Linked DNA regions of Mus musculus. The protein of the gene in region 5 interacts with the protein of the main gene of each other region in a pairwise test. Links are inferred from orthologs where the notes say so. Each region holds a gene or a part of one and is shown on either strand. Other genes may lie near its edges.

What was found.
Region 1: the proteins of Atf4 (region 5) and Bfsp2 interact in binary tests that used the Homo sapiens proteins (3 or more experiments, as listed by UniProt). The link is inferred for Mus musculus from reciprocal best matches to the Homo sapiens genes ATF4 and BFSP2.
Region 2: the proteins of Atf4 (region 5) and Ccdc106 interact in binary tests that used the Homo sapiens proteins (3 or more experiments, as listed by UniProt). The link is inferred for Mus musculus from reciprocal best matches to the Homo sapiens genes ATF4 and CCDC106.
Region 3: the proteins of Atf4 (region 5) and Ldoc1 interact in binary tests that used the Homo sapiens proteins (3 or more experiments, as listed by UniProt). The link is inferred for Mus musculus from reciprocal best matches to the Homo sapiens genes ATF4 and LDOC1.
Region 4: the proteins of Atf4 (region 5) and Golga1 interact in binary tests that used the Homo sapiens proteins (3 or more experiments, as listed by UniProt). The two-hybrid records come from large-scale screens. The link is inferred for Mus musculus from reciprocal best matches to the Homo sapiens genes ATF4 and GOLGA1.
Region 6: the proteins of Atf4 (region 5) and Trib3 interact in binary tests that used the Homo sapiens proteins (3 or more experiments, as listed by UniProt). The link is inferred for Mus musculus from reciprocal best matches to the Homo sapiens genes ATF4 and TRIB3.
Region 7: the proteins of Atf4 (region 5) and Junb interact in binary tests that used the Homo sapiens proteins (3 or more experiments, as listed by UniProt). The link is inferred for Mus musculus from reciprocal best matches to the Homo sapiens genes ATF4 and JUNB.

What each region holds. Positions count from the first base shown.
Region 1 is NC_000075.6:103,445,490-103,449,469, reverse strand, and holds part of Bfsp2 (phakinin), read left to right. Parts: intron 1-289; exon of another isoform or gene 290-422; intron 423-759; coding exon 760-921; intron 922-3,980.
Region 2 is NC_000073.6:5,054,955-5,059,705, forward strand, and holds the start of Ccdc106 (coiled-coil domain-containing protein 106), read left to right. Parts: upstream 1-1,771; 5' UTR 1,772-2,544; coding exon of another isoform or gene 2,545-2,674; coding exon 2,675-2,705; intron 2,706-2,844; coding exon 2,845-2,949; intron 2,950-3,037; coding exon 3,038-3,214; intron 3,215-4,541; coding exon 4,542-4,751. UniProt on the Homo sapiens protein: Promotes the degradation of p53/TP53 protein and inhibits its transactivity.
Region 3 is NC_000086.7:61,707,977-61,711,708, reverse strand, and holds Ldoc1 (protein LDOC1), read right to left. Parts: upstream 2,099-3,732; 5' UTR 2,000-2,098; coding exon 1,544-1,999; 3' UTR 759-1,543; downstream 1-758. UniProt on the Homo sapiens protein: May have an important role in the development and/or progression of some cancers.
Region 4 is NC_000068.7:39,020,248-39,024,227, reverse strand, and holds part of Golga1 (golgin subfamily A member 1), read left to right. Parts: coding exon 1-19; intron 20-752; coding exon 753-855; intron 856-954; coding exon 955-1,088; intron 1,089-1,383; coding exon 1,384-1,527; intron 1,528-3,980. UniProt on the Homo sapiens protein: Involved in vesicular trafficking at the Golgi apparatus level. Involved in endosome-to-Golgi trafficking. Mechanistically, captures transport vesicles arriving from endosomes via the protein TBC1D23.
Region 5 is NC_000081.6:80,253,582-80,258,118, forward strand, and holds Atf4 (cyclic AMP-dependent transcription factor ATF-4), read left to right. Parts: upstream 1-1,602; 5' UTR 1,603-2,104; intron 2,105-2,625; 5' UTR 2,626-2,717; coding exon 2,718-2,940; intron 2,941-3,052; coding exon 3,053-3,879; 3' UTR 3,880-3,964; downstream 3,965-4,537. UniProt on the Homo sapiens protein: Transcription factor that binds the cAMP response element (CRE) (consensus: 5'-GTGACGT[AC][AG]-3') and displays two biological functions, as regulator of metabolic and redox processes under normal cellular conditions, and as master transcription factor during integrated stress response (ISR).
Region 6 is NC_000068.7:152,341,261-152,345,255, forward strand, and holds the start of Trib3 (tribbles homolog 3), read right to left. Parts: upstream 2,801-3,995; 5' UTR 2,597-2,800; intron 2,068-2,596; coding exon 1,777-2,067; intron 1-1,776. UniProt on the Homo sapiens protein: Inactive protein kinase which acts as a regulator of the integrated stress response (ISR), a process for adaptation to various stress. Inhibits the transcriptional activity of DDIT3/CHOP and is involved in DDIT3/CHOP-dependent cell death during ER stress.
Region 7 is NC_000074.6:84,976,273-84,980,228, reverse strand, and holds Junb (transcription factor jun-B), read left to right. Parts: upstream 1-1,480; 5' UTR 1,481-1,799; coding exon 1,800-2,834; 3' UTR 2,835-3,320; downstream 3,321-3,956. UniProt on the Homo sapiens protein: Transcription factor involved in regulating gene activity following the primary growth factor response. Binds to the DNA sequence 5'-TGA[GC]TCA-3'.

The DNA.
Region 1 (3,980 bases), on a different chromosome or scaffold from region 5:
AACAGGATCAACTGAATAATTCTAAAGATAGGCGCACGGGTGGTTCCTACACACTCGTTAACAAAAGAAGGTTGTATCTTTAAGTGACAGGACCAAAGGGCACCTCTAGCAGGGATGTGGTCACGTCACCTGCAGGAAACCACCACACACACACATCACTCTGATTCATGGTTGAGGGTGCTTCAAGCTGACAGTCACAGCTCACTGCCCGTGTTCACATTGCGGAGTTCCTCCTGTGCCCAAACCTGAAGCTGACCAATGGCTGGAAACCTGTTCCTTCCTGTTCTTGGCTCAGTTCCTGACAGCACACTCCAGCAGCCACCCCTTAGACTCTAGAACGGATTTTAATCTCCTTTAGTACATCCTGATGTTATGCCTAACTTCCATTTTCTATAGATGCTTGCTATAGGTTACTATACTATGTACTTACTTTTGATTATGTTTTTAGTTTTTGTTTTTTTTTTAACTTGGGCATGGGCTTGGGAGGATCTAATCTAAGAAATGCATCCTTGGGGAAAGAAAAATGATACCTATACCTAGAAGATCTGGGACTTTGCCAGTCTTTGTGGTGCCCATGCATGGTGCAAGATAGATAGATAGATAGATAGATAGATAGATAGATAGATAGATAGATAGATAGATAGATAGATAGATAGATAGATAGATAAGCAGGCCTGCCAAGCAATGCCCACAGAGCCAGCCTGTTTTTCCTCCCTAGAGGAAAGACAGGTGTCCTAAGGTGTCCACTGTTGCTTTTAGGATGTGAAGGTTCTGTACAAACAGCTGGCAGGGTCTGAGCTGGAGCAAGCAGATGTCCCCATGGGCACCGGTCTGGATGATGTCCTTGAGACGATCCGAGTTCAGTGGGAGAGAGATGTGGAAAAGAACCGAGCAGAAGCAGGAGCCTTGCTCCAAGCTAAGGTAAGAGACCAGCCAGGATCGCCCCCTGCGTCCTGGGAAGGAGGAGGCCGAGCAAGGTGGAGTCAGCCAGCATGTAAAAGAAATGCAGCCATTTAGCAACAAGCTCAGCCCCCCATGGAAAGAGGAGAAGTGCAAAGTAAGATAATAATGCTTGTTTGCCTCTCTGAAATAAGAAAATGTTTAAGATGGCAATGTTCAATTCTGGAAAACATATGTAAAAGATTCTCTACTGTGTCATCAAAGAGTATAAGGTGTAAGTTTTTATCCAGCCTTCGAGTAAAGGATGTTATTGTCTGTATCAAAGGTGTTTGTAGGGTCCTACCTGCTGCCTGTACGCTACTGTGCTGCTAGCTGAGCAATCTGGACAGCCATGTTAAAGAGCACATTAGGAATGCAAAGGGTTGTGATGTAGCTCAGGGATTGTGTGTGAGTGTGTGTGTGTGTGTGTGTGTGTGTGTGTGAGAGAGAGAGAGAGAGAGAGAGAGAGAGAGAGAGAGAGAGAGAGAGAGAGGTGTCCAAACATGCTCCATGAAGCATTTTAAGGGTTGAATTATAAGGTGGTAAAAATACATGTCTTATCAAAAGAAAAAAACTACACCGTTACCTAACTACGTTGTGTGCAATGAAACCTGTTATTAGAAATGAAGTAATTATAACAACACGGGGAAAGCCCATGGAATGTAAAATGGAAGAAAAGCAATTGCAGAATGATATATACCGGGGACTGACAAGAAGGTTTTGTTCAACAGTGAGTACTTTAGACTCGCCTGGGAAGCCAGATGATTTCTGTTGCAGTCTCTCAGCTTTGCCCCTGTAGCGTAACAGCAGCCAGACACAGTATACAGCCGCAAGCATTCTGTGTTCCAATAAGACATGTTTTTAATCCAAACACTTGGGAGACTGAGGCAAATGAATATCTGTGAGTTCAAGGCCAGCCTCTTCTATATAGCTACTTATAAGACCAATCTCAAAAAAAAACCAATTATCGAAACAGCAAGTGAACTGGACTTGGCCTCTCGGCTGTTGCCATCTCCCACGACAGACAGTGGAATAGAACACTGTTCTCAAGGGGAGACCAGGTGTCTCCAAAAATTAGGCTCACATGGTAGCTGCAGCAGCAGTGGGCTGCCTTTGAATAGGTGGCTTATCTGATACTTCATGGTGTTTTTCTTTCTTTTGAGTATTGCTCAAGTTAATTTCCTAAGTAGCCTGAATTATATTAATGAGAAAAAAGAGTCAAGTAGTATGAGATGTAACAAATAAGAAAAGAATTATCTAAAAACTAGACCGTAGACAGTTTGTCCTTCAGGTCTGCCCCTGCTCTTCACTCGGGGACTTGGAAGAGAGAGGAAGGACCATGTAACGGAACTGAAAAAACAAGGTGAGCTTGTTCAAAAGAGGCTGAGTTAATGACTTTCAACACCCACTGCCCAGCAGAATCATCTCAGAAACTGTAACGGCCAGGATCCACTCCAGAACAACTTAGAAGCAGCAGAAAGACTTGATGGGTTTCTTTTTTAATTATTAATAATAAAAGTTCTCAGGGCTGAAGTGAGGGCTCAGTGGTTAAGAGCACACACTGCTCTTCCTGAGGACCTGAGTTCAGTTCCCAGCACCCATGTCAGACAGATCACGCCTGCCATCCACCTGTAGCTGCTGCTCCAGGAGATGCAGTACCCTCCTCTGGATTCTGATGCACCCACAAGCTCAAGTGCACACACACACACACACACACACACACACACAGAACAAAATAAGTCTTTTTTTTTTTAAAGTTCTGTGACTTCTATTTCCCTGATGACTAAGGATGTTGAACATCTAAGTGCTTCCCAGCCATTCAGGATTCCCGTTGAGAATTCTCTGCTTAGTTCTGTGTCCCATTTTTCAATTGGGTTACTTGATTTGTTGATGTCTAATTCCTTGAGTTCTTTATATCTTTTAGATATCAGTCCTCTGTTGGATGTAGGGTCGGTGAAAATCTTTTCCCATTCTGTAGGCTGCTGTTTTGTCCTATTGATGGTGTCCTTAGCCTTGCAAAACCTTTTCAGTTTCGTGAGGTTCCATTTCTTGTTGATCTTAGCGCCTGAACTATTGGTGTTCTGCCCAGTAATTTGTCTCCTGTGCCAATGTGTTCAAGGCATTTTCTCACTTTCTCTTCTATTTGATTTAGTGTGTCTGGTTTTCTGTTGAGGTCTTTGATCCACTTAGACCCGAGTTTTGTGCAGGGTGATAGATATGGGTCTATTTGCATTCTTCTACATGCAGACATCCAGTTAGACCAGCACCATTTAGGGAAGACATTCTCCCTTTTCCATTGTATGGTTTTAGCTTCTTTGTTAAATTGTCCATAGTTGTGTGGGTTTATTTCTGGGTCTTCAATTTTATTCCACTGATCAACATATTTTTATGCCAATACCTTATGGATTTTATTACTATTGCTCTGTAGTACAGCTTGGAATCAGGGGTGGTGATGCCTCCAGAAGTTCTTGGATTGTACAGGATTGTTTTAACTATCCTTGTTTTGTTTTAATATGAAGTTGAGAGTTGCTCTTTAAAGGTCCGTAAAGAATTGTGTTGGAATTTTTATGGGAATTGCATTGAATTTGTAGATTGCTTTTGGTAAGATGGCCATTTTTACTATGTTAACTCTACCTATCCATGGAGAGAGCATGGGAGAGCTTTCTATCTTCTGATATCTTCCTCAATTTCTTTCTTTAGCAACTTGAATTTTTTTGTTTGTTTGTTTTGTTTTTCAAGACAGGGTTTCTCTGTATAGCCCTGGCCATCCTGGAACTCACTTTGTAGACCAGGCTCACCTCAAACTCAGAAATCCGCCTGCCTCTGCCTCCCAAGTGCTGGGATTAAAGGCATGCACCACCACCGCCTGGCTGAAATTCTTGTTATATAGGCCTTTCACTTGCTTGGTTAGAGTTCCATCAAAATATTTCATATTATTTGTGGCTATTGTAAAGTTCTCCTCCCAATAATTCCGACCTTTCTTCAGCCTTGAGGATTGGTCATAAAAGCTGCCATAAGACAAAAGAAGGACGACACCCTCC
Region 2 (4,751 bases), on a different chromosome or scaffold from region 5:
TTACCGAGCAGGAGCCATTCCAGAAGCATATTCAGAGGAAGCATCCCTGCACTGCCTCTGGGGACCGCGGGGATCATGGGTCTCCTCCTGAAGTTCTCAGACAATGGCCTGAGTGCCAGCCTGGCTTTCAGAGCCCTAGACACAAACCCAGCCTTGCCTCGAAGAGTCTCTGAGCTGTCAGGGCATCATAGTGCTTTGGAGGTATATGGAAACGAGCCCTCATAGAGAACAGCCCTGCCCCTTGAACAGTTGGGATATTTATTATTACGGATTCCTGATAGGAGGAAGGGAGGACCATGCTGTTTGGGGAAACTCTTGCCTGGGAAGTTTTAGTGGGTAGTCAGAGGTCTCTATTTTGACACTGGAAGTAGGGACCTTATATTGAACACTCAATGCACACCACACCCCATTCTCAATCCTTACTTACATTTTGGGAGACATTTTAGTTTATGCTATCTGGAACAAAGACCTTGACTGGGTAATGGGAAAGTCTGCCGTTTTCCTCTGGGAGTTAGGCCTACTTCAGTTTCCCCAAACCTGCCATTTATTTATTTATTTATTTAGATAAGGTTGTAATGTAGTTCAGGGTGACATTGGATTTATGATCTTGCCTCCACTTCCAGAATACTGAAACTCTGGGCTTTGTGCATGCTAGGCACCTTACACACTGCGCAACATTCCTAGCATCTTTGGGAAAAAGGTTCTGAACACTACCCCTTCCCCACCCAAACTACAATCCACATTAATATACTTAAAAAAATAGCATCTTAGAGCATAAGCACAGCTTTATACAGTTCACCTGGCTTTATACAATTCTCTGTGGTTTGAAATACTGATCTAGGGCAGGTGGTTCCCCCTGGACTTGCTGACCCAGGATGCAGTTTATTTGTAAAAATGAACTGCTTAGTCTTGGTTGACACATTCAGTCTTCCTCTGCAAGGATGGTTTAAGTCATGCCTCTTAGGGCTTCAGAACCCCAAAGAGGATGCTGCTTGTGAACCGGAGAGGCAGTGTAGGTCTAATAAACATGTCTTCGCTGCTCCTTTCCTCTGATTGTGTGTGTGTATGTGCCCTATGCAGATAGCCTCTTTACACGACTTCTTTTGGGGCGGAAGGGAGAGGGGGAGTGTCTTAAAGGCTGTGCATCTACACCGACTGACTTCAAATAATATCAACAGCGCTTGGATCTTAAGCTCCAAGAGTGGTCCGGTTCTGGGCTGAGCCTTTGGTATGTCACACAACTACATCCTCTCAAAGGCTTTTAAGAGTAACTTCCCACTGAACAGGTGAGTAAACTGAGGCCATGGAGGAATGAGGAGCAAGGACTGGAGTGTAGCTGTTCCACAGGTGGCTCCAGTGTGGGCTATTCCTGACCCACACTTTGCGGAGAAGTAACCACCACACAACCCATTCTCACATCCTGGTCCTCTTATTCCTTTAATCCTTTTCGTGGATGGGGGTGGGTGGAGGTTATGGTAGGTTGGAGCGGCTAAGACTAAAGGTATGCATGTATTAATCAGCTACTTAGGGATCATTAAAGGAGACTCAAATTTCACTTCAATTTTCCTTACTGCCTCATACCTTCTGACTTTTCTCGGCCCACTGGTCACATAGCCACTCACCCGGAGGACCCCCGGAACCGCATCAGCTGTGCAGGATGAGAATTTCATGAGGATCCCTGCCTAGGCTTTGGGAAAGGAGGGGGGGGGGGTTGTGTGTGGGGTGGGGGTTGGAGGGGTGTTGCAAGGGGCTATCGCGCAAGTGCGGTCCCGACCTCCGCGCAAACGGCGGGCCTCACCTGGGCTCCAGGAAGAGGCGCCCCAGGCTCGGCAGGCCTGATTCGGTTAGTGCCCACGTCTCCGCGCTCCGCCATCCAGTTCTCCCCCTCCTCTGCCGCTACGCCCGCTTACTGGTGGGTGGGCGCTTCTCTCCGCGACACTTTGCAGACGCTCCCCTGCGCTGGGCATGGGCGCCGCCACTGCCGTCGGTCCCGGGGCTGGAGTCCGTGCGCGGGTGGGTGAGAGCGGGGCCTCGGCCCCTTGTACCCTGAGCACCCAAAGGCGGGGAACGGTGCCCACGGTCGACACCCCCATGCCGGTTGCCCATTCTGGGACCCTTCGCCACGGTCGCCCCCTCCCACTTGTGGGACAAAGGGTGGGGGCGCATCCCCACGCGTGACCTCCCACGCACTGCGCACGCGCCCAGCTCCCACTTCGGGGAGGGGCTTTACTCGCCCACGCGAGTGCGGGAGGAATGGGCGGCTGGGACAGGGGAACGCTTGCAGGATGGACCCCCTACCCCAAGAATGGAAGTTAGGGGTGGTTGTTTCTCCATTTATGGCATTGGGTTCGGAGATGGGCCATGATGAAGGGCTTTCTCATTCAGGCCAGGTCTCCCTGTGGTGTTGACCCCACGAGGAACCAAAGAATTTAAGGGCCGAGCCCCTTCACAACCAAGATTCCTCTCGCTGAGCCCCCTCGCTCTGGGTACATACTTTGGAAGCCTCTGACTCTGTCCAGAAGTATGGGTCCTTTCCTCCCTCAGACTGGTGATCCTTCCTTACTCCGGAGGGACAGGTATTCCACCTCTCCAGGGACTGCCGACTTTTGGTGACCTGCTTCTGTCCAGTGCCCCCAAGGGCTCAGTTGCTGGGTCTGCAGGAAGCCTCCTCGATATGAATGACAGAAACAACCGTTGGCGGACAAGTGAGGCACCTGGGGACCCTTTCTTTTCCCATCCTTGGTCTGACATTCTGGTTCCCTCTGTCCATGGGACAGCAATGGTTGGGGGTGGTCTATAAGGTTCAGGCCACTTCTGGGGTGACCTCTGCTGACCTCTCTGCAGTGAAGGACGAAGAGACCTTTGAGATCTCCATTCCCTTTGAAGAGGCACCCCACTTAGACTCACAAATCTTATACCGTCTGAGTCCGTCTCGGAGAAATGTTGAGGGTGAGCTGAGAAAGGGCATTGGAGGGACTGGAGTCAGGTGGGGTACTGCCTCACCCTGGGGCATGACCTCCGTCCCTGCTGTTCTTAGAGCCTCCAGAGGGCGCCTCCCCAACCCTGGCCCTGATGAGCAGTGTTAAGGCCCAGCTGCACATGGCACTGGAGAGGAACTCGTGGTTGCAGAAGCGCATTGAGGACCTGGAGGAGGAGAGGGACTTCTTGCGGTGTCAGCTGGACAAATTCATTTCCTCTGCCCGGATGGATGCAGGTGGGGGCACACAGTCCCCCAGGACCCGCAGAATTCAACACCCAATGTTGGTTGGACCTGATGGGGACTTGGCATCTTATCCTTCCACTAAGGCCCATGCCTATTTTAGGGCCTTCCCCAGCCATTTCCTTCTTGATTTCAAAGACTTCTCTCATTTCCTATCTTGTGATGAGACTGCCCTGTAACTCATCAGCCTCAAGCACTTGGCATAACTGTCTCCCAGAGTCTATATTTCCAGCCCAGGTTCCTCATCTTAGGGGAAATGTCCCTTTGTCAGTAGACCCATTGCAGTCTACTGGATTCCTCAGAGGGGCCCTGCCAGCACCCCAGGATTTCTGAATGATGCAGTCATCATCCATTAGAGGTACCCTGAAATACCAATCAGGGTTCTGTCTTCCCTCTACCCTGCTCTACATTATCATGCCTCATGTTTCTTATTCTTCAAAGGCTGTGGGGGTCCCAGTACCTCTGTCTCCTAAGCTTCACCTTAGGGTCCTGAGCGGATCCCACTCCCTTGTCTTGCTCTAATCTACAACTAGTAACAGCATGGTGGTGTCACCTCTTCTGACAGGCAGGGCCCTATCTCATTAACCTGTGTTGACTGCCATTCCCAGCACATTCCCCACTCAAGGCTGCCCTTTCCCAGAGCTTTAGCCCTGGTTTCTTGGAGTACTTAGCCTTTATTCAGGCCATAACCCTAACCTCTGTATCCAGCTGAGCTGCTGGCAGGCTTTCTCATTGCTAACCATGGCAAAAGCTCTAGTAAAGGGACCTAGCACTGGGATGGGGACATGCATACCCTCTCTTCCTATACTGAGAGCTCTATCCAGGGTGACTCCTATCTTTCCCTGGTATGACTGGGCAGAGTCTTGGTTTCAGTTCTCAGGAGTTCATCCTTCAGAAGATGCTGAGTCTGAGTTGGCTCCCTATCTAGGGGAAGGTAGTTAGCATTTCCCAGTACCCAAACTGAACCCTGACTTCTGTAGGAGTCTGATATCCAATCCTCCTACCCAGAGGCACTGTCTGCCTCTCGGATTTTGACTCTTCACTCTGGAGCTCCCCAGGATACATTTCCCCCACAGAAACTCTGCATAGTCACAGATTCTCATGAATTCCCTGGACCTGTTTCAGTCAAGTTCAGAGCCTAGAAAAATGCTCACACTATTCCCCGAATCCCAGCTGGCTCTATGGCATTCAGTGTAGCTAATGTCTCTACTTGGGGACTTCACCCTGCCCTCATTCCGAGGACTTGGCCTCCATGTCCATCTTTCCCCCCTCAGGGCAATTATAGGACATTGTGTCACAGTTCACTTTTGTCTCTCTTTAGAGGACTACTGCCGGATGAAGCCTGGACCTCGGAGGGTTGATGGGGACAGCAGGGCTGGGGTTGGAGAAGCCTCAGACCCCGAGTCGGCAGCCTCCTCCTTCAGCGGGGTTTCCGAAGACGGAAGTGCCAGTGAAAGGAAGAGGCAGAAGCAGAAGGGAAGTACTAGCCGGAAGCGATTTGGGAAGACCAAGGCTCGAGAGAGGCAGCGGG
Region 3 (3,732 bases), on a different chromosome or scaffold from region 5:
CACACCTGTCAGGTTACTCATATGATGACCAGCGCCCCCCATTTCATTCCTCCCTGAGGTTTAGCAGCTTAATAAATAAGTGTGGTCATGCCTGAAACTCTTAAACCACGATGTATTATTTAAATTAATTAAAAGTTCTATGTCTGAATTCGCTTTTAAACCAGTAAAATGACATTCAGGCAGATTCAGGAAACCCTAGATCTTTCCAATATTTCCTGGTTACCGTGTATACCCCTTTACCAAGTTCATTTCAGCAGGGTAACATAATGGACTGACACACAAACAAAGCTGGGCAGATAATTCTCAGTACCTACCCTCTGGACTGTCTGAGAGATGTCAACTCACAAACTCCAGTCCAGGTTCTAGCTCAGGAGACATAAGCATCTTGCTAATTGCCACCCACAGGAAAGAAGGACAATGGATAAAACTTCTCTGCCATGTTAGGAAACTTCACTGTGCCCAGTAATATGCCTCTACTGTCAGTCTAAATGTTAATAATGTCCCTTTATTTCTCCAAAGTGACCTAATTTAAGATGATAGCCCCCCTACCCAGCCACCCTTTATATGTCACCTTGGAAGCCCCAGACAATGCTCCTTCACCACAGCTTTTAAAACCCTATGACAGGGCCCCCTGGAGCCCAAAAATGAAAGTGAGAATACTGGGATTGAACCAAGTTCCCCAACCACAATGAAATAATGGAGGTGAGTCACAATAGCCAATGGTAGCACTTAACCATGAAAAGACAACAGTTTGCTGCTAGTTTTGCAGTGCTTGATATTTATTGCAAAGAATTACATTGCTTTTTTCAAGTACTAGAGAGGATCTGGGCTGAATGCCTGTCCGTTTGCTTTTATTTTAGTAGTCCTTGTCCACATGGACACATCTGTGAGGCTGCTGCAGTTCTGAAAGGAAACGTGCTGTGCAAAACTGATGCATAGGAGAAAAGACATGTCAACATTTTAACTGTCCGGCAGGCACATCAGGTTCCTGTTCTGGTCAGGCAGATGTGGAACCTGGTAGTACGTACAGAACTAACCAGTCGGTAAAGACTGGCTGGCCCCTTCAAGGTTTGGTGAGTAGTCCAAAACAGAGTCTGAATGGGTGGAGTAGCAACTCCATCATCTTCTTGGTCCTTATCTTGAAAAGTGCTTCAGATGAAATTCGGTGAGTGGAGGTGAAATGTCAGGAATCTGCTTCTGGGCAGATGGCGGACTGGCCTGAGTTCCAGTGGATGTCAGCAGCAGGAATGCAGGTGGTCTGACCAGTTCTAATAGGGACCTGGAAAATCGCTGGAACTCCGAACAGAGTTCAGATTAGGATAAGTGCCTGAGGCCAAAGTGAGTTTCAGAGCAAGGTCCAGGCCCAACTCACAGCAGGTAACTGGAACAAAGACAAGTCCTGAAGGGAATGATGGAGCAAACAGACTGGCGGGGAAGAGGATGGCCATGCAAAGGGAGAGATTGAGGCAGCAGGAATGGCGGGTGGGGGGTTGGAATGAAAAGGCGTGAAGGCCCCCACCTCTAGGCCTAAGGGGGCTCCGGCCTAGTGATCTTCCTCCATTTCTTCCTCTTCATCATCATCACCATCATCTTCGTCGTCGGTACCCCAGCCAAAATACTGCTTCATCTCATCAACAAAGGCCTGATAATCACCGAGGACGTAGCTATTTGACTCGATGTAAGGCATCACCCACTCCTCAGCTTCCCCGGAGAGGAGGCTGATCAAGAATGCCACTTTCATGGCATCATTGCAGAAGTGCTCCTCATTCGCAAGCATGTAAGACATGGTCTGCATGATAAACTCAGGGAGCCGACCACTCTCGCCGCTAAACCGTGAGGGGTAGGGCACCGGACAGCTCGGTGGACATACCTGGCGCAGCAGCCTGGCCCGCTCACACACCAACAGTCGCAGCTGCTTCAGGAGCTGGTGGTTCTCCATGCACAGGGCTTGGTGCCTATCCAGAAGCGCGTGCAGAAGCGACAGCAGCTCTTCCACCATGGTTAACTGCTTGGACGGTCTCGGTCTCGGTCTCGGTCTCAGTCTCGGATCGGCTCCACGGAGCTGCACAGAGAGGCTGAGCAGGAAGTGCGGGTCCTCAGAGGAGTGCGGACCCTGGGCAATAAATGGAGGGGTCCCAGCCAGCGGCAGAAACTCCACCCACAGGGTCACTTTACAAACCTGTGCGCTAGCGCAGTGCGGTAAGGAAGGTGTGGCTGGGAAGGGTGCGGGATGGCGTGGGGGCGTGGTCAGGGTGGGACTGGTGGCCAGAGTGGATGTGGCTGAGGAGGAGCAGGGCGTGACCCAGGAGCTTCGCTGCGGGGTCCCGCCAGTTCTTCCACCTGGAAGTAGGAAGGCTGAGGGAGCAAAGCTTGCCACAGTGGAGAACAGATGCTCAGCCCTCAGGGCTGGCCTGCTCCAGCTGAAACTTTTCTGCAGGCAGCCTGTTCATCTAATTCAGTGTTCCTTTGTGGGTCTGTGGCCATCAGCTTCTTTAAAGTGATCCTTTCTTAACACATTTTTTTTTCTTTTTTTACTTTTTATTGGATATTTCTTTATTTACATTTCAAATGGTATCCCCGTTCCCGCCTCCCTCCCCTCAAAACTCCCTATCCCATCCTCCTCTCCCCCTGCTTCTATGAGGGTGTTCCTCCACCCACCCACCCACTCCCATCTCCCCTCCCTCGAATTTCCCTACACTGCGGTCTCCAGCCTTCACAGGACCAAGGGTCTCTCCTCCTTTTGATGCCTGACAAGGCCATCCTCTGCTACATATGCGTCTGGAGCCATGGGTCCCTCCATGTATACTCTTTGGTCGGTGGTTTAGTCCCTGGAAGCTCTGGGGGTGAGGAGTGTCTGGTTGGTTAACACATTTCCTTGCTCATTTAAATCTCACTCGGAGAAATAACGCTGACTCTGTGGGCCACCGTGCAGGAGGTCATTTGGGTTCCAAGTCTAAAAGACTCACAGGTAGACTCACTTTCATTAAATAAATAAATAGTATGCAACAAAAGACTTCTCTTTGACAAGCAATTTTGTTAACAAGATTTGCAAACACCAACCAAAGAGAAAGCACAGGCTGGACCTAGGCCTTCCTGCACACATGTAGCAGATGTGCAGCTTGGTCTTCTTGGAGGTTCCCCAACAACTGGAGCAAGGGCTGTCCCTGTGTCTGCTGCCTGCCTGCTTGAGGACCCAGTTACTCTAAATGGTTTGGCTTGTCTGTCCTCATTTGGAGAGGGTTTGACTTGTTGGGTGTGTGTGTGTGGAGGAGGATGTTATTTTGTGAGGATTTTTATTCTCAAAAGAGAAGAGAAGGTGGAATGGAGGAAAGACCTAGGAGAGGGGACACTGGGAGGAGAGGAGCGGGTTGATATTGAGATGTAAAGTGAAAAAAATAAATAAATTTAATAAAAAAGAAAAAAGAATGTCCTCCCCCCAAAAAAAGATTTATAAAATGTATACAGGGTGTCCACTTGTAAACATCCTATCTTTGATTCTTATCATGTCCTGTTTATGAGTACCTTTGTTCCTGTGTAGTTAAACTACCATGTGCACTGTTAAATAAGCCTGTCTGCCTAGTTTGAATGTGATTAGTTGTTGATAACTAAGTTTCGTTCTGGGTCATCAAGCTGATACACAATGGGTCTGCTTTTAAAAATATATCTCCAAATTCAATCAATTCTGGTCCTATCTGCTACCCTGCTACATCGAATCCCTTAGCTGCCAGCCTT
Region 4 (3,980 bases), on a different chromosome or scaffold from region 5:
AGAAGAGTTCCAGCAACAGGTAGGTCCCTGGCTGGCTACCAAGGTGTAAGCCAAAACTGTGTTCCCCTGCAGTCTCAGTGGCACTGCACCTTCTATGTGGGGCCATCAGAGAGACCCCATATACCCAGGGTAAGCATGTCAAGGGTCTCTAGGAACACAATCAATTGGAAAATGCCCTATGACCTGTAGGTTACTTGGAGAAACTATTACCAAGAAACCTCACCCCAGATGATGCCCTTCCTAAATTTTCATGGTTACTTAGTTGTAAACATTGATTGGAGAAAAAGTCATTAGGGAACTAACAGTCTGATTCTGTCAAGTGGTACATCACCACCTGCTATTCCCAAAGGGTAAGCCAGAAGTATAGGAAAAACTATATGTGGGGACAAATAGAGCACCTGGCTCTTGCTCTGCTGACTAGAGGTCTCCAGTGAGTTCTTGACCAATCTGAGGCCAGTCGCTTCTGGAAAAAACTTAGAGTGATCATACCTTCTGATACCAGCATGAGGTACGCAACAGGCTGGTGAATTGTGGGTGCTCAGGAAAGGATGTGTTGTGAGGCTAACCAGAATATCCACACTCTGGGTAGCCCAGCATGGGCCAGCAGGGTAGTGAGGGCAAGCACATTGTGCAAGGCCATTTAGGAGAATGGATCCCACTGCCATATGTTTATTCTAAGCTGCAGATGTAATGAAGGGTACTATAGGAAAGGGAGTTATGTCAGCCCCTCTTATGCTGAGTTTCCTGCTAAGGCCACTGAGTTGACAGCCATCATAGAAGAGAAAAATCAGAGCCTGTGTGAAAAGGATGAGGCACTTCTCCAGAAGGAGCAGGAACTTCGACAGCTGGAAAAAGGTGAGGAGTCAACCCCTGGCCAGTAAGCGTCATTAGTGAGCCAGCCTGTCACAAAGCAGTGTGCAGTCACTAGCTCACACTATACTCCCACTGCCCTAGGTCACAGTTCTGCCCTGCTGCAGATGCACAAACTGCAGAGGGAACTAGAGGCCTTGAAGACTTGCAAGGCTCAGGAGGCAATGCCAGCCACAACAGGAGAGGACTGCCTGCCACTGCAGGGCCAGGAGCCACTTGTGAGAGCTCTCCCTATACTGGAGGGAGGATTTGGGGTGGGAGTGGGGGGGGTGCTCTGCACTGTTAGGGCCCTGCTTTTGTGGTAAAGGTGCTCAGCTGCCTAGGGGGCTTGAGACCTATAGGACCATCTGTGTGCAGCACCTATGTGGTGTGTGTATATGCCAGTTGGTCACCAAAAGTCAGTAGTTTGCCTGGCAGGTACTGGATGGAATCTTCTCATATGGGGCTGGCACTCCTTCCCCACAGACCTGCAGCTCACCCTCTGCCTTTTGTCCTATTGCCCCTATCCTGTAGGTCATTTCAAAAGCCATGCAGAATTCTGAGTATGAGCTTCCAGCTGCAGAAGGAACTCCAAACGGTGAGGTTGGAGCCAGTGATCTAAAGCAGCTACAGAAAGAAAAGCAGGACTTAGAACAGCAACTTATCGAGAAAAATAAGGTGAGGACACCATACCTGGCTACCTATGCTGGATCTGTTCTAGCCCAGCCCTCAGGCCAGCAGCCCAGCTGTTCCTCCTCATTGCTATTACCTCCTCCCCAAGTCTGCCATCTTTCCTCTAGAGGTTGGTGCTGGTTTTCTCATGGCTCTCCCCCCACCCCACTTCCTGCTGTCCTGTAACTCTTCTCTGTAGACAAGGCTGGCCTCAAACTCAAATCTGCATGCTTCTATCTCCTGAGTGCTGGGACTAAAGGCATGTATGGCTTTTGACCTCACTCCTCAGACCTACTCTGCTTACATCTCTCTCAGTGCAAATTGCAGTCCGTGCTGAGTGTAATGACCCACACCTGTAATCCTGCACTCTGCAGACAGATACAGAAAGGCCAGGATAAAGGCCAGCCTGGGTTATGGAAAGCTTTCTTTAAGACAAGACCACACTGTATAGCCCTGTCTAGCCTAGCACTCACAGAGTTCATACCTTTCCAATGCTGGGATTAAAGGTATATGCCACCTCAACCTTGAGTCCTGCTTTCAAGAATGGCCATGGGGAAATTCAGTCATGGTAGTATGCGTCTTTAATCTCAGCACTCTGGAGGCAGAGGCAAGTAGATTCATCTGAGTTCAAGGCCAGCCAGGGCTCTGTAATGAAACCTTGTCTCAAAAAAGAAAGGGGGTGGGGGAGGTAGGGGAAAGAGAGGAATGAAATGGGGCTCAATAATAGAATACTTGACTAGCTAGCATGCATAAGACCCTGAGTTCCATCCCTAGCATTACAAAAATAAAAATAGAAACTCAGTCACAAAGTAAAGCATGGGCATCCCCTAGAGTTACTAGCCCATTACAAATTACCACTAGGAAGCCAAGCATAGTTACACATGACTGTAATGCCAGTACTTAGGAGGGGGACACAGGAAAGTGGGAGTTCAGTCATCCTTGGATACATAGCAAGTCTGAGCCAGTCTGGTATATATGAGACTCTGCCTCCCCCACCCTACACACACACACACACACAACCACTGGGGAAATAGTAAGTGAAAGTGAAACGTGAAAAAGAAAAAGCTGGACATTCTCATGTACACCTGTAATCCTAGCACTGTGAATTCAAAACCAGCCTGAGCTGCTTAGGAAGATCCTGTCTCAGACACAAAATAGAAACAAATTTTCACTCTTCAGTACAAGAATCAGAGCATAAACTAGAAAGTCTAAGAAAATTCTTATTTTGCTCTTATAGTTGTAAGATCTCATTCATATATATATATAGATATATAGGTATATCTATATATACATATAGTTTGTCTGTTTGTTTTCTTTGAGACAGGGTTTCTCTGTATAGCCCTGGCTGTCCTGGAACTCACTCTGTAGACCAGGCTGGCCTCGAACTCAGAAATCTGCCTGCCTCTACCTCCTAAGTGCTGGGATTAAAGGCGTGTTCCACCACTGCCCGGCATCAGAGATATTTTTATTTAAGACTTTTCCAAGGTACTGGAGAGACAGCTAAGCAGTTAAGAGCACTGTTTGGGTTTAGTTCCCAGCACCCACATGGCAGCTCACAACTCTCCTGTGTTCTGAGACAGGATCTTCCTAAGTAGCTCAAGTTGCCTTTGAGTCACAGTAGTTCTCTTATCCCAGCCTCTCAAGTGCTAGGATTACAGGTTTAACTCCAGTTACAAGAGATTCACTGCTGCCTTCTGGCTTCCATGAGCTCCTGTATTCAGGTGTAGCCCATAAACAGAGGCAGGCACACAGACATACACAAATGGTTTTGGTTTTTGGCTTTTTTTTTTTTTAAGATTTATTTATTATTATATCTAAGTACACTGTAGCTGTCTTCAGACACACCAGAAGAGGGCATCAGATCCCATTACAGATGGTTGTGAGCCACCATGTGGTTGTGGGATTTGAACTCAGGACCTCTGGAAGAGCAGTCAGTGCTTTTAACTGTTGAGCCATCTCTCCAGCCCCACAAATGTTTTTAAAAATAAATATTTAACAATTTCTCATTGAGTTTGATCCCTGTCACTGAGGAAAATAAAATTCCTGTGTTACAGATTATAAAGTTTTAAATTAGGAAAGTGAAGCTCAGCCTTTCTAATGAATGATGAGATGTGTAGTAAACCACATTTAAGCCTTGTAATAAAAAACCCACTGGTTACATATGAAAATAAAGGGGCTCAGTAGTTAAGAGCACACTTATCCAGAGAAGCTGGGGTCAATTCCCAGCACCCACATGGCAGCTCCAGTCCCATGAGACACCCTCAAGCAAAACATCCATATACATAAAATTAATTCTTTTTTAAAAAATGGAATATATTCTGCAGAGCCACTCACAGCAGCACTCTCAAAGTATATGAGCACTACCAACAGGCCTGAGGACCCAGCACACAAAGTTGGGTAGGAAGTGTACTGTCAAGAGAACAATAATACTGTGGCCCCTCAGGGGCCTCAGAAAGCAA
Region 5 (4,537 bases):
CTCACTGGCTGTTTGGAGACTCTTATGGGAAAGCATTAGGGTTGATAGAAAACAGCTGTTGGGATAATTGGTTGTTAGCACCCTAACAGAAGAGTGGGGGGACTCCAGGCTGCCTGCAGGGTAGATACATGTGATAGAAAACAGCTGCTAGGATAATTGGCTGTTAGAAAGGAGGCCAGAAAAAGAAGTGCAAGCTTACACCACGTGGAAGGTTTCTGGGGAGGCACGTTTTTGTATAGCAAAAGGCAGTCATGTATCACAGGTTCAGGAGTTTAGCAAAGCAAGGGGTGGGCATACATCATAGAGTTAGGAACTCAGCATAGGTTAAAAACCATGGTTTGCAGGGTACATTATGCTTAGGGGACAGAAACTTGTAAGGGATGTCCACTTAATGTAGCAGTGTGGCTGCTGTTTTGGTTTCCAGAGCAAAGAGAGGACATAGTTACCCTTTTGTTGCTTTTGCATGGAAAGACTAGGTAACTTCTGTATGTGTGCACATGCACTTGTGACTTCTTTGGGTATAAAAACATCTCATTATGTAGGCCTCGTGTTTTATGGTTGGTTCCGTCTCAGTAAACAATAATAAAGGCTCCTCTGAGGAAGGAGGATGGAGTTAGGGATATAGGGACTGGAGAGTTAGGTTCGAATTAATAAATAGCAATCAATCATATAATCAAGGACGACCTTGAACTATGGTACCCGAGCGCTAGGGTTGGGTTGTACAAGGCTTGCAAATAATCACTGAGCAGTAAGTGGCAGGCACTGTGCCAGTTGAGTGGTATTTGTGTGAGTCACTTAAACAGAAGTGGAAACTCTTTTTAAGATTTCCAGGCTGGAGTTGGAAAGAGCCTCTCAGCACTCTCAAAACAGCATCCTTTATGGTGAGGCCTTGACCAGTACCTGGGGCTCCCGATCACTTAGGCGGCAGGCTCACTCATCAGGATGACTTCTTGGGAAGGTGATACCTGGAAGTTAAGGCTTGAGAGCCAACTGAATAAACCTGATCTTAAGGGAACTGACCCTATACAAACCGGCAGTGAGGGCCTCTATGATGGGAGGATGGGCATAGGAGGTTAGACCTGAGGTTAGGCATGTTTCCCCGGTTCAGGGGAAATCGCTGAACTGGAGGAACCGGAATATCTCCCAAGAAGACCCCAACACGAACGCCCTGCCTCCAAGTGCCGTCCCTGTCCCAGGACTGACAGGAAGCTGAAGGTTTGGACCAGCTAACTCAGAAGGGTCTCTCCACATGCCTGAAGCCTGCCCACTCGGTTCTGGAAACAACAAATACATGAAAAGATGGCTTCCAGCCCAAAGGTCACGCCTGGAAGCTGTTTGCTCGGTGCGGAGCGATGCCGGAGAGAGCAAATACACATGGATCACATCTGACAAGAGATGGCAGGTGTGACAGTCTGGCGCCCGGAACCTCTGGTGGCTCCTCCCTTTCCACGCAGACCCCTGATCCTAGAGCGCCCAGGTGCAGAGCCAATAGGAACTTGAGGTTTAGGTGACTCGCCACGCCTGGGCCAATCAGCTCGACGCGCGCTCCGACGGCGTCTCGCGTGATAACCTGGCAGCTTCGGCTTTGACCGTCAGAGCTTTGGCTAGGTGTCCCACCCCGCCTTGTAAGACACCGGAAATTCGTCAACGAGCGATCCCTCCGCGCTCCGGAACCAGACCGCGGCTGGTCGTCAACCTATAAAGTAGTGCACTTTTCTCTCATGGGGCCTTTAGGACGATCTCTAACGCCACAGTTACCCCCCGAGCACAGCGGAGAAGGGTTGGGGCGGGCGAGGGCGTCAGTGAGAGGCGGTTTGGTGGCGCTGCGGTAGGATCACGTGACCACAGTGGGAGGATACGCGGTGTGCTGCGTCCCTGGCCGAGGCTATAAAGGGCGGGTTTAGGGCGTGCCGCCGCCATTTCTGCTTGCTGTCTGCCGGTTTAAGTTGTGTGCTCGGGTGTCCCTTTCCTCTTCCCCTCCCGCAGGGCTTGCGGCCACCATGGCGTATTAGAGGCAGCAGTGCCTGCGGCAGCGTTGGCCTTTGCAGCGGCGGCAGCAGCACCAGGCTCTGCAGCGGCAACCCCCACCGGCCTAAGCCATGGCGTGAGTATGGGGCCGGCCGCGGAGGGCGGGGGCCTCGCTGTGGTTGGGTGCGGCCCGGGCGCGGTGGCCGGCACACGCGGTTTTACAAGCGGCCGGACGCGTCGGCCTTGTTTGCGTTGCCTGCGACGCCGGCGCTCCCGGGCAGAGCTGGGCGGAGGAGTGTCTAAAGCGCTACTGCTGCCCCTTCGTCCTGTCTTAGCTTAATCATCTCGGGCTCACCGGGGTCCCCGTGTCATCCTGCGAACGTGGCGATGCCCAAGATGGCGGTGGGGCGGGGGTGTGAGTCACGGGGGCGGGGCGCGGCGGCCTTGGCCGTATTAGGACGCGAGGACAAGCTGCTTCCTCTGGGTGGCCGGTGAAGCAAAGCTAAGCCTCCATCTTGTGCAACCCGAGCTGGCGGCCGGGGAGGCTTACACAATGGCCTTGGGCCCGCGTGCTCTCCCTGTAGACGCTTCTGGGATTTGGCCATCCGGCATCTTAGATAGAAAGATGACTGGACTTGCTTTTGGGTCCCCATCCAGGCTCTTCACGAAATCCAGCAGCAGTGTTGCTGTAACGGACAAAGATACCTTCGAGTTAAGCACATTCCTCGAATCCAGCAAAGCCCCACAACATGACCGAGATGAGCTTCCTGAACAGCGAAGTGTTGGCGGGGGACTTGATGTCCCCCTTCGACCAGTCGGGTTTGGGGGCTGAAGAAAGCCTAGGTCTCTTAGATGACTATCTGGAGGTGGCCAAGCACTTGAAACCTCATGGGTTCTCCAGCGACAAGGCGGGCTCCTCGGAATGGCCGGCTATGGATGATGGCTTGGCCAGTGCCTCAGACACCGGCAAGGGTGAGTAGGACGGCTGTCCTGGTGTGCCCTTTTCATATGGATCTGGTGTTCTAATGGCTTTCTGCCTCCCGAATATGACATGAACCGTTCACACCTGAATTTCTTTTCCCAGAGGATGCCTTTTCCGGGACAGATTGGATGTTGGAGAAAATGGATCTGAAAGAGTTTGACTTCGATGCTCTGTTTCGAATGGATGACCTGGAAACCATGCCAGATGAGCTCTTGACCACGTTGGATGACACATGTGATCTTTTTGCCCCTCTAGTCCAAGAGACTAATAAGGAGCCCCCTCAGACAGTGAACCCAATTGGCCATCTCCCAGAAAGTTTAATAAAAGTCGACCAGGTTGCCCCCTTTACATTCTTGCAGCCTTTCCCCTGTTCCCCAGGGGTTCTGTCTTCCACTCCAGAGCATTCCTTTAGTTTAGAGCTAGGCAGTGAAGTTGATATCTCTGAAGGAGACAGGAAGCCTGACTCTGCTGCTTACATTACTCTAATCCCTCCATGTGTAAAGGAGGAAGACACTCCCTCTGACAATGACAGTGGCATCTGTATGAGCCCAGAGTCCTACCTGGGCTCTCCCCAGCATAGCCCCTCCACCTCCAGGGCCCCACCAGACAATCTGCCTTCTCCAGGTGGTTCCCGTGGGTCTCCTCGGCCCAAACCTTATGACCCACCTGGAGTTAGTTTGACAGCTAAAGTGAAGACTGAGAAATTGGATAAGAAGCTGAAAAAGATGGAGCAAAACAAGACAGCAGCCACTAGGTACCGCCAGAAGAAGCGGGCTGAGCAGGAGGCCCTCACTGGCGAGTGTAAGGAGCTAGAAAAAAAGAATGAGGCTCTGAAAGAGAAGGCAGATTCTCTGGCCAAGGAGATCCAGTATCTGAAAGACCTGATAGAAGAGGTCCGTAAGGCAAGGGGGAAGAAGAGAGTTCCGTAATAGGGTAGTCAGGTGCTTTGTGCTTGTACATAGTCTTGTGTTGCTGTGTTTGCTGTAATAAATTATTTTGTAGTGAAAGTACCTATGTGGGTTTTCAGTGTCATTCTTTGTAATAGACTTAACTGCAGACGTTCCTGGGTTAGATACAATAACTACCTGGGTATATCCCAGGGCTGAGCTGAGCTGTTTGAGACGGTGAAGATGAGGGAGCTCTGGGTTAATGAAAGGAACAGCCTGAATTCCACCTGTTCATACTGGCTTTGTGCCAGATAGCTGCCATGTAAGTACCTAGATGAGGTACCCGCCTTGAGCACACAGAGGATTAGGTTTTTCTCAGGCTTAAGGGATAGAGCTCATATTCCCTCTGACACAGATGGCTGGACTGTTTCCACCTGGTGGAAGGGCTGGGGTGATAGTAAACAGTGGCAGGTACTGTCTACAGAGGTGAAAATGAGCAATGTAGGCAGGAAGCTGGGAAGGGAACCTAGGCTTCCAGCTCCAGGGTCCTGGGCTACCTGCATCTTTACCTCTTAAATCTGGAAACTGTTAAAGCCTGCAGGGTTAAGAGGGATCTTTCAGCCTTCCCAATGCCAGTAGACTCACCTGAATGTTAGCTGTTGGGATGAATGTAGTCCATTGGGTTTGCTAATCTAGGATT
Region 6 (3,995 bases), on a different chromosome or scaffold from region 5:
GTGGTCAGGATGAGGAGGGGGGGAGTCATATGGGGGCACAGTGAGGCAGCTGGGAAGTGTGCTCAGAGTTTGTGGATACACTGGAGGCCTTCTAGGAGCTAGGGTTTCAGAGCTGAAGTGTTACTTTATTGCTTTTGACTTTAAACTCAGGCATTGGGGGTGGGGGGTGGGGGCTGAAAGTAAACAAAACAAAACAAAACAAAACAAAACAAAACAAAACGTGATCTTAGAAGAAAGAGCTAGGGTAGGTAGCAAGGAGGAAATAAATACACAGACTACTTTTTCATTCTCTCCCAAAGCTTGGTCCTGTCTCAGCACCGTTGGATCTCTTTATTTGGGGGAAAGAAGGGGTGACCTTTCTTTTCTTTTCTTTTCTTTTCTTTTCTTTTCTTTTCTTTTCTTTTCTTTTTTTTGAGACAGGGTTTCTCTGTGTAGCTCTGGCTGTCCTGATACTCACTCTGTAGACCAGGCTGGCCTTCAACTCAGAAATCTGCCTGCCCTACACAGAGAAACCCTGTCTCGAAAAAACCCCCCAAAAAACAAAACAAAACAAAACAAAACAAACAGAAATCTGCCTGCCTCTGCCTCCCAAGTGCTGGGATTAAAGGTGTATGCCACCACTGCCTGGTGGGGTGAGCTTTCTGAAACAAGGTCTCTTTGTGTCTCCCTGGCTGCCCTGGAACTCACTATGTAGACCAGGCTAGCCTTGAACTTACAAGATACACGTGTCAAGCGCTGCTGTTAAAGGTGAGTATCACTATGGCTGGCCCTTTGTGTTTCCTGTACCCACAGCGGGGACACACTGCCTTTGGACCCTCCTCCCTAAGCCTCCTTCAGCTCCTGACATGCATGGCCCTTTATCATCTGCAAAGCCCTCCCAGGCTTCCTTAAGTTCCCCTGCATCCCTGCATGTCTCCTCCTCTCTTTGCTTCTCCCTGCCCTCTGACACTAGCTTCATTTCCATAATGCTCTTCATTGCCTGGGCTCTTCTGGTATGTGCACATGCGTGTGTTCTTGTGGCAGGCAGAGGAAAGTCTCTGGTGTCATTCCTCAGATGCCACCCAGTTTTTGTCTTAGGATTTATTTTTAATCGTGTGTGTGTGTGTGTGTGTGTGTGTGTGTGTGTGTCTGTCTGTCTGTCTGTCTGTCTGTCTGTGTCTGGGTATAAGCACAAGTGCAGATGCTTGAGGTCAGAGGCCCTGGAGTTATACAGTGGTGAGCTGCTTCAAGCAGATGCTGGGAACAGAACTTGGGTCTCTGCAAGAGTTTCACACTTTCTTAATCACTGAGCCATGTCTCCAGCCCCTTTAGTCCTTCCCTTTCTCTCTTCTCTCTACCTGAGATAGTCTCTCACTGACCTCCGAACAAACTCGCTGAATAGGCTAGCTGGCTGACCAGTAGTCTGGCTCCAGAGATCTGCCTATCTCCACTTTCCCAGTACAGAATTACAAGTGTGCAAGCAAGAGCACTGGATCTAGACTTGGGTTGATTTTCAGGCAGGTTCTCAGCATGTATGTACTCTAGGCTAGCCTGAAGTTCAGAGCCAACCTCCTGCCTTAGCCTCTCTGGTGCTGGGATTATAGGCATGTGCCACCACACCCCACTTGGGTCTGGTTTTTTGGCTGCAGCAAATGCATTATATGTATAGTACTCCGTGGAGGAATGTCAGTTGAGGAACCCAGTGATAATCTACAAGGTTAGAAAGCTACAGTCCTCTGGATTCCGGGCCTTTTGCAGAGCCCTGGGATGCTAGAGGGGAGAGCCCATAGAATATACCTTGCAGGTGTACTCTGTGCCTGTGGGGCAGTGCAGGGCTCGATAGCTGCAGCTGCCTTGCTCTCGTTCCAAAAGGATATAAGGCCCCAGTCGAGTTGCAGGGGCCACAGCAGGTGACAAGTCTGAGGCGGGAGGTGGGCTGGGGGGCAGCAGGCTGGGGAGTGGTCCGGGCTCAGGCTCATCTCTCACTCGTTTTAGGACTGGACACTTGGCATCAATATTGTCATCAAACTCCAACGGTTTCTTCCTGCAGGAAACATCAGCAGAAGCAGCCAGAGGTGTAGCTCGCATCTAGAGAGCAAGGAAGAAAGACTGTTTGGTATCCTGTCTTCTCTGCTAGGACCTTCCGAACAGAGAAACACCACACTGGGTTTTCCGAAGCTCTCAAATGCAAGGACTGCTAGGGAAGGAAGGGACCCGCGACGAATGAAAGGTTTAATAACGCAATAAGGAGAGCTGAGCTTAGGGACGCACCCCTGCTTCGCCAGCACCCTGGGGGCTGACTGGTGAATTGCCAGTCAGCCTGGGCTGCATAATAAGCTGGGGTCGACAGCTCAGGCTGAGGGCGCCCCCAGACGGCGAAGTAAAGGAGCGAGAGAGTGAGAGTGAGAAGAGTGAGAGTGAGTAAAAGAGAGCGAGAGCGAGAGGGAGAGAACGAGAGAGAGAGAGAACGAGAGAGAGAGAGAGAGAGAGAGAGAGAGAGAGAGAGAGAGAGAGAGAGAGAGAGAGAGAATAGAAATATTCATGAATACGCCTGGACTTCCAGTGACCCTCTTGCCAGACCCGGGTAAATCCCCCTTCGCAGCTCCCTACTGGGTACCTTGTCCTGGAGCCTCAGAGCCGCCTGCGCCCACGCCCGTGGACCGCCGCCAGCCTAACTGAGCAGCTCTCGGAGTCTCCTGCACGCTAGTGCCAGACCCCAGCCGTCACGTACTCGGCAGCAGCCTCTTCCGCTGCTAAAGTGCTGCGGCACCGGGACGCGGGCTCGGATCCCCGCCCGGCTGATGTAAACCTGAGCTAATCTGCTGCTGACGCCCAGCGGCCCGGGATTGCACCATCTGTGACCCGCCCATGTCGCCGAGTGAGCTCCGCCCTCACCTTCGGGGCCACACGCCCCCAACCCTACCCCGCCCCCCAGCTCCTGAAGTAGCACTCGGAGCCACCGACTCTCCGTATTGTAGTACTTTATACCTATTTCCCCGTATATGAAATGAGAATAGAGGAAAAAAGAATGAACGGAGGCTGTTTAAAAATCTCGTCAATCCCCTCCACCCGCTACCCGGTAGTCGGGCAGAGGCAGGTGGATCGTTGAGTTCGAGGCCAGCCTGGTCTGCAGAGTGAGTTCCAGGGTAGCCAGGGCTACACAGAGAAACCCTGTCTCGAAAAACAAACAAACAAAACAAATATCGCCTCCACACCCCACTAAGGACTGGGCTAGAAGCCCCGTGCTCTGCGTGCATCCTGGGAACCTTCCCTCCAAAGCAACCCTTTCAAGGGTGCACCCAGTTCTGCTGTAGCTCAGAAAAGCCGCTTAGCGCCCAGTCTGGCTCGGGGTGTGGCTCTGTGAGAGCACAAAGCCAAAAACAACCAAAGGAAGCAGAGCTCCATTTCCCTTCTCCGTAAAATGCTGCTCTCATCACATGGTTGCCGTGAACATTATTAGTAAGTTCGTGTGCTCAAAGCTCTTAGAAGAGCTGGGTGTGATGCACACCTAGAATCTCAGTTACTCGGAAGCCTAAGGCAGGAGGATGAGTTTGACCATGCAGCTCTGGCTTGCCTGGAACTCACTCTGTAAGGCAGGCTTCTCTCAAACTCACAGAGATGTACCTGCTTCTGTTCCCCAATACTGGGACTAAAGGCCTTGTTATCAAGCTAAAAAGAAATGTGGCCGGGAGTGGTGGTGCATGCCTTTAATCCCAGCACTCTCAGGAGGCAGAGGCAGGCGGATTTCTGAGTTCAAAGCCAGCCTGGTCTACAGAGTGAGTTCCAGGACACAGAGAAACCCTGTCTCAAAAAAAAAAAAAAAAAAAAAAAAAAGAGTAAGGGTTGAAGCAGAGTAATGTTTTGTAGCTCAGCCACAGAACATTAGCCTAGTAGTACATTTGCATATGGTAAGCAGTGAGTCCGATCCCCAGTAACAACAAAGTGTAGTCTATGGGACTTGTAGGCACTCTGTAAATAGGATGGAGCCGCTGGACACTGCAGGTGGAGGGACATTA
Region 7 (3,956 bases), on a different chromosome or scaffold from region 5:
CGAGTTCCTGGCTCTTAGTTTGCCGCCCCAAGACTGCACTGGTCCCACCTCTTCCTGTGCCCTAATATGGGTGCTGGGGAGAGAAATTCAGGGGGGGGTGCCCCGCCCCCAATCTAATTCACGGACTCCAGCCTGTTGCCTTGGTGACGAGGCCCCGCTCCCAGGCTGCATCCCCCTCCAGCCGGCCAATGGAACAGTCCTCGGCTGCCAGGCTTATTAGTCGCCGATGGTTGCAGGCTGAACCATTTCTAGATGGGGGAGATCAGACTATGACTAGAAGCGTCTGTAGCTGGGTTGTGACTTCCCCAAGGGTCGCTTGCCGAGGTTCCTCTTCCCAGGCGCAGAATTTGGCAGGCCCAGGGTAGGGTGCACCATCCCCTAGGCTCACAATGACGAGACAGGGCCGGGCTCTTTCCCCCTCGGGGCTGTTGCCACACTTCCTGCCTCGGCTCTCTTTCCCTAGCCTGTTTCTAAGGAAGGGAGTGGGGTTGGGCGACCGCACCCCAGCTATCCCGCCCCATCGGCCCTCCAAAAGCTGACAGGATATCGGGCGAGCCCCGGGTGACTAAGGGAGGGCTTTGGGCTGAGGTACTGGGCATGTCAGTGCCCTAGGGACCACCTACGAGGTACAGCCTCATTCGTACAAGTCCTGGTCTCTGGGATCCTCCGAGTCATCTTCTCAGGAAGATCTCAGATACCCTCCTGTCATTGCCTTCATAGCTCGGAAGGAAGCTATGTCGTGACCATTTTAATTCTCTGCCAGAGTTCTGCAAATATCCACAATGACCCCAACCTTTGCTAGATATGTTCCCATCTTTCTACTCCGATTACCTCAGCGTCCCCAGGACCTTTGTTCTGAATATCTAAATTGACCTCCCCAAAATTCCTTCCCTTTTCCACTTATGGGGAAACCCTCAGACTCATCTATGGACTCTAGAGCCCCTACTCATTTCTTGTACAATAGGTACCTGAGCCCTGTTGTGTCTTGGCCCTTTCCTCCCAACTGACAATTCCAGTTCTTTAAGCACTTTGTACCCGGGACCTCTGGTTAATTCCTAGGCCAAATGTTAACAATTGCCCCTGTTTTGTATCTTCTCTGTTTTCTGGGGTCTTCTACTGTATTGTCAGTTCACAAGCCACAGCTACCCTGGGTCCCACGAGACTTTTCCGGGGATATCCTAAGGTATCCAATCTCCACTTGCAGTGTATCTCATAAGCACCTGGCTGTACTCCCGCAGTTCTAGCCCCTATGTGCCTCGGCCCCTCAACATCCCTTTGCTTGTGTGTCTCTGTCTCCACAGCCCCTCCCCCTGCAGCCGCGCAGAGCCACCCGGCTCGTGGCCGCTGTTTACAAGGACACGCGCTTCCTGACAGTGACGCGAGCCGCCTCCTCCCCTTCCCCACGCTCTAGGAGGGGGCCGCGGGGGCCTGGCTCCCGCGTCGGCCAATCGGAGTGCACTTCCGCAGCTGACAAATTCAGTATAAAAGCTTGGGGCTGGGGCCGAGCACTGGGGACTTTGAGGGTGGCCAGGCCAGCGTAGGATCCTGCTGGGAGCGGGGAACTGAGGGAAGCGACGCCGAGAAAGCAGGCGCACCACGGAGGGAGAGAAAATCTCCGGAAGCCCAGCAGCGCCTTTACGCACAGCTGCCAACTGGCCGCTGCTGACCGTCTCCAGCTCCCGAGGACGCGCGACCGGACACCGGGTCCTGCCACAGCCGAGGACAGCTCGCCGCTCGCCGCAGCGAGGCCCGGGGCGGCCCTTCAGGGGGACCTTTCCCAGATCGCCCAGGCCGCCCGGATGTGCACGAAAATGGAACAGCCTTTCTATCACGACGACTCTTACGCAGCGGCGGGATACGGTCGGAGCCCTGGCAGCCTGTCTCTACACGACTACAAACTCCTGAAACCCACCTTGGCGCTCAACCTGGCGGATCCCTATCGGGGTCTCAAGGGTCCTGGGGCGCGGGGTCCAGGCCCGGAGGGCAGTGGGGCAGGCAGCTACTTTTCGGGTCAGGGATCAGACACAGGCGCATCTCTGAAGCTAGCCTCCACGGAACTGGAGCGCTTGATCGTCCCCAACAGCAACGGCGTGATCACGACGACGCCCACGCCTCCGGGACAGTACTTTTACCCCCGTGGGGGTGGCAGCGGTGGAGGTACAGGGGGCGGCGTCACCGAGGAGCAGGAGGGCTTTGCGGACGGTTTTGTCAAAGCCCTGGACGACCTGCACAAGATGAACCACGTGACGCCCCCCAACGTGTCCCTGGGCGCCAGCGGGGGTCCCCAGGCCGGCCCAGGGGGCGTCTATGCTGGTCCGGAGCCGCCTCCCGTCTACACCAACCTCAGCAGTTACTCCCCAGCCTCTGCACCCTCTGGAGGCTCCGGGACCGCCGTCGGGACTGGGAGCTCATACCCGACGGCCACCATCAGCTACCTCCCACATGCACCACCCTTTGCGGGCGGCCACCCGGCACAGCTGGGCTTGAGTCGCGGCGCTTCCGCCTTTAAAGAGGAACCGCAGACCGTACCGGAGGCACGCAGCCGCGACGCCACGCCGCCTGTGTCCCCCATCAACATGGAAGACCAGGAGCGCATCAAAGTGGAGCGAAAGCGGCTGCGGAACAGGCTGGCGGCCACCAAGTGCCGGAAGCGGAAGCTGGAGCGCATCGCGCGCCTGGAGGACAAGGTGAAGACACTCAAGGCTGAGAACGCGGGGCTGTCGAGTGCTGCCGGTCTCCTACGGGAGCAAGTGGCGCAGCTCAAGCAGAAGGTCATGACCCATGTCAGCAACGGCTGCCAGTTGCTGCTAGGGGTCAAGGGACACGCCTTCTGAGAGCCTCCCTTGCCCCATACGGACACCCCCAGCCTTGAAGGCTGGGCGCCTGCCCCCCACTGGGGTGAGGGGGGCAGGCGATGGGCACCCGCCAAAAGGCCTGGGGCGCAGCTCACACACTGGACTCCGGCCCGCCCGCCTGCGCCCAGTCCTTCCACCTCGAGGTTTACATGGCCCCCTTCCAGCGTATTTTGTATGTTTTTTTTTTCTGCAAAGAGACTGAATTCATATTGAATATAATATATTTGTGTATTTAACAGGGAGGGGAGAAGGGGGCTGTCGCGGCGGAGCTGGCCCCGCCGCTTGGTACTCAGCCTGCGGGGATACTAGGGAGGGACCTCCGCCCCCTGCCCTCCCCCTCTGCATAGTACTGTGGAGAAGAAACACGCACTTCGTGTCTAAAGTCTATTTTAAGATGTGTTTGTGTGTGTGTGTTTGACTTTTTATTGAATCTATTTAAGTAAAAAAAAAATTGTCTTTATTAATTTCTGTGGTCTCTTTTTTCTTCCAAGCTGGGCGGATGGAGGGAGAAGATTGGGCTACCCCAAGCACGGTGCTGTTTGTAGCTCGCTCCTTTCAGGTATCATAAGGTTCAGTACAAACGCCCAGACCTCCTATCCCCTGAGTCCTGGCACCAGACGCTGCGCAGGCGGGCAGTGGCGGGGAACAAGCTACCCAGGACAAAACGCGGAATGTGCAAGCATGACCCCGCCCAGCAGAGTGCGCCGGGGCTTTCCCCGCTGACGTTACGGAAGCTCTGCCCATATATGGGCCTATTCAGCTCAGTGACGCCAGCGCGGTCTCCGGGCAGATTCCGGGAATCCCCTCCCCCCCGCTCTGCCGGGCAGGGCCGCGGCGCCGGGAAGGGGGCCGGGATTTTCCCGAGCAGGCGGCTTTCTGGGCGCGGAAAGCCCCAGGCCCGGGTCCAGGGCGCCCGCGGCGGGAGGGCCGTGCTCTCATGAGCCCTGGGAGCCATCCGAGCGGCTTTCAACAGACCGGCGCCGGAGCCCCACCGCGCCCACGCCCCCTCCATTAGACCGACCCTGGCGGAGAGTAACTGCAGCCTTCCTGTAGTTGCAGACGCCGTCAGGGCAACTCCTGCCAGGAAGGGCGGCGCCCGCC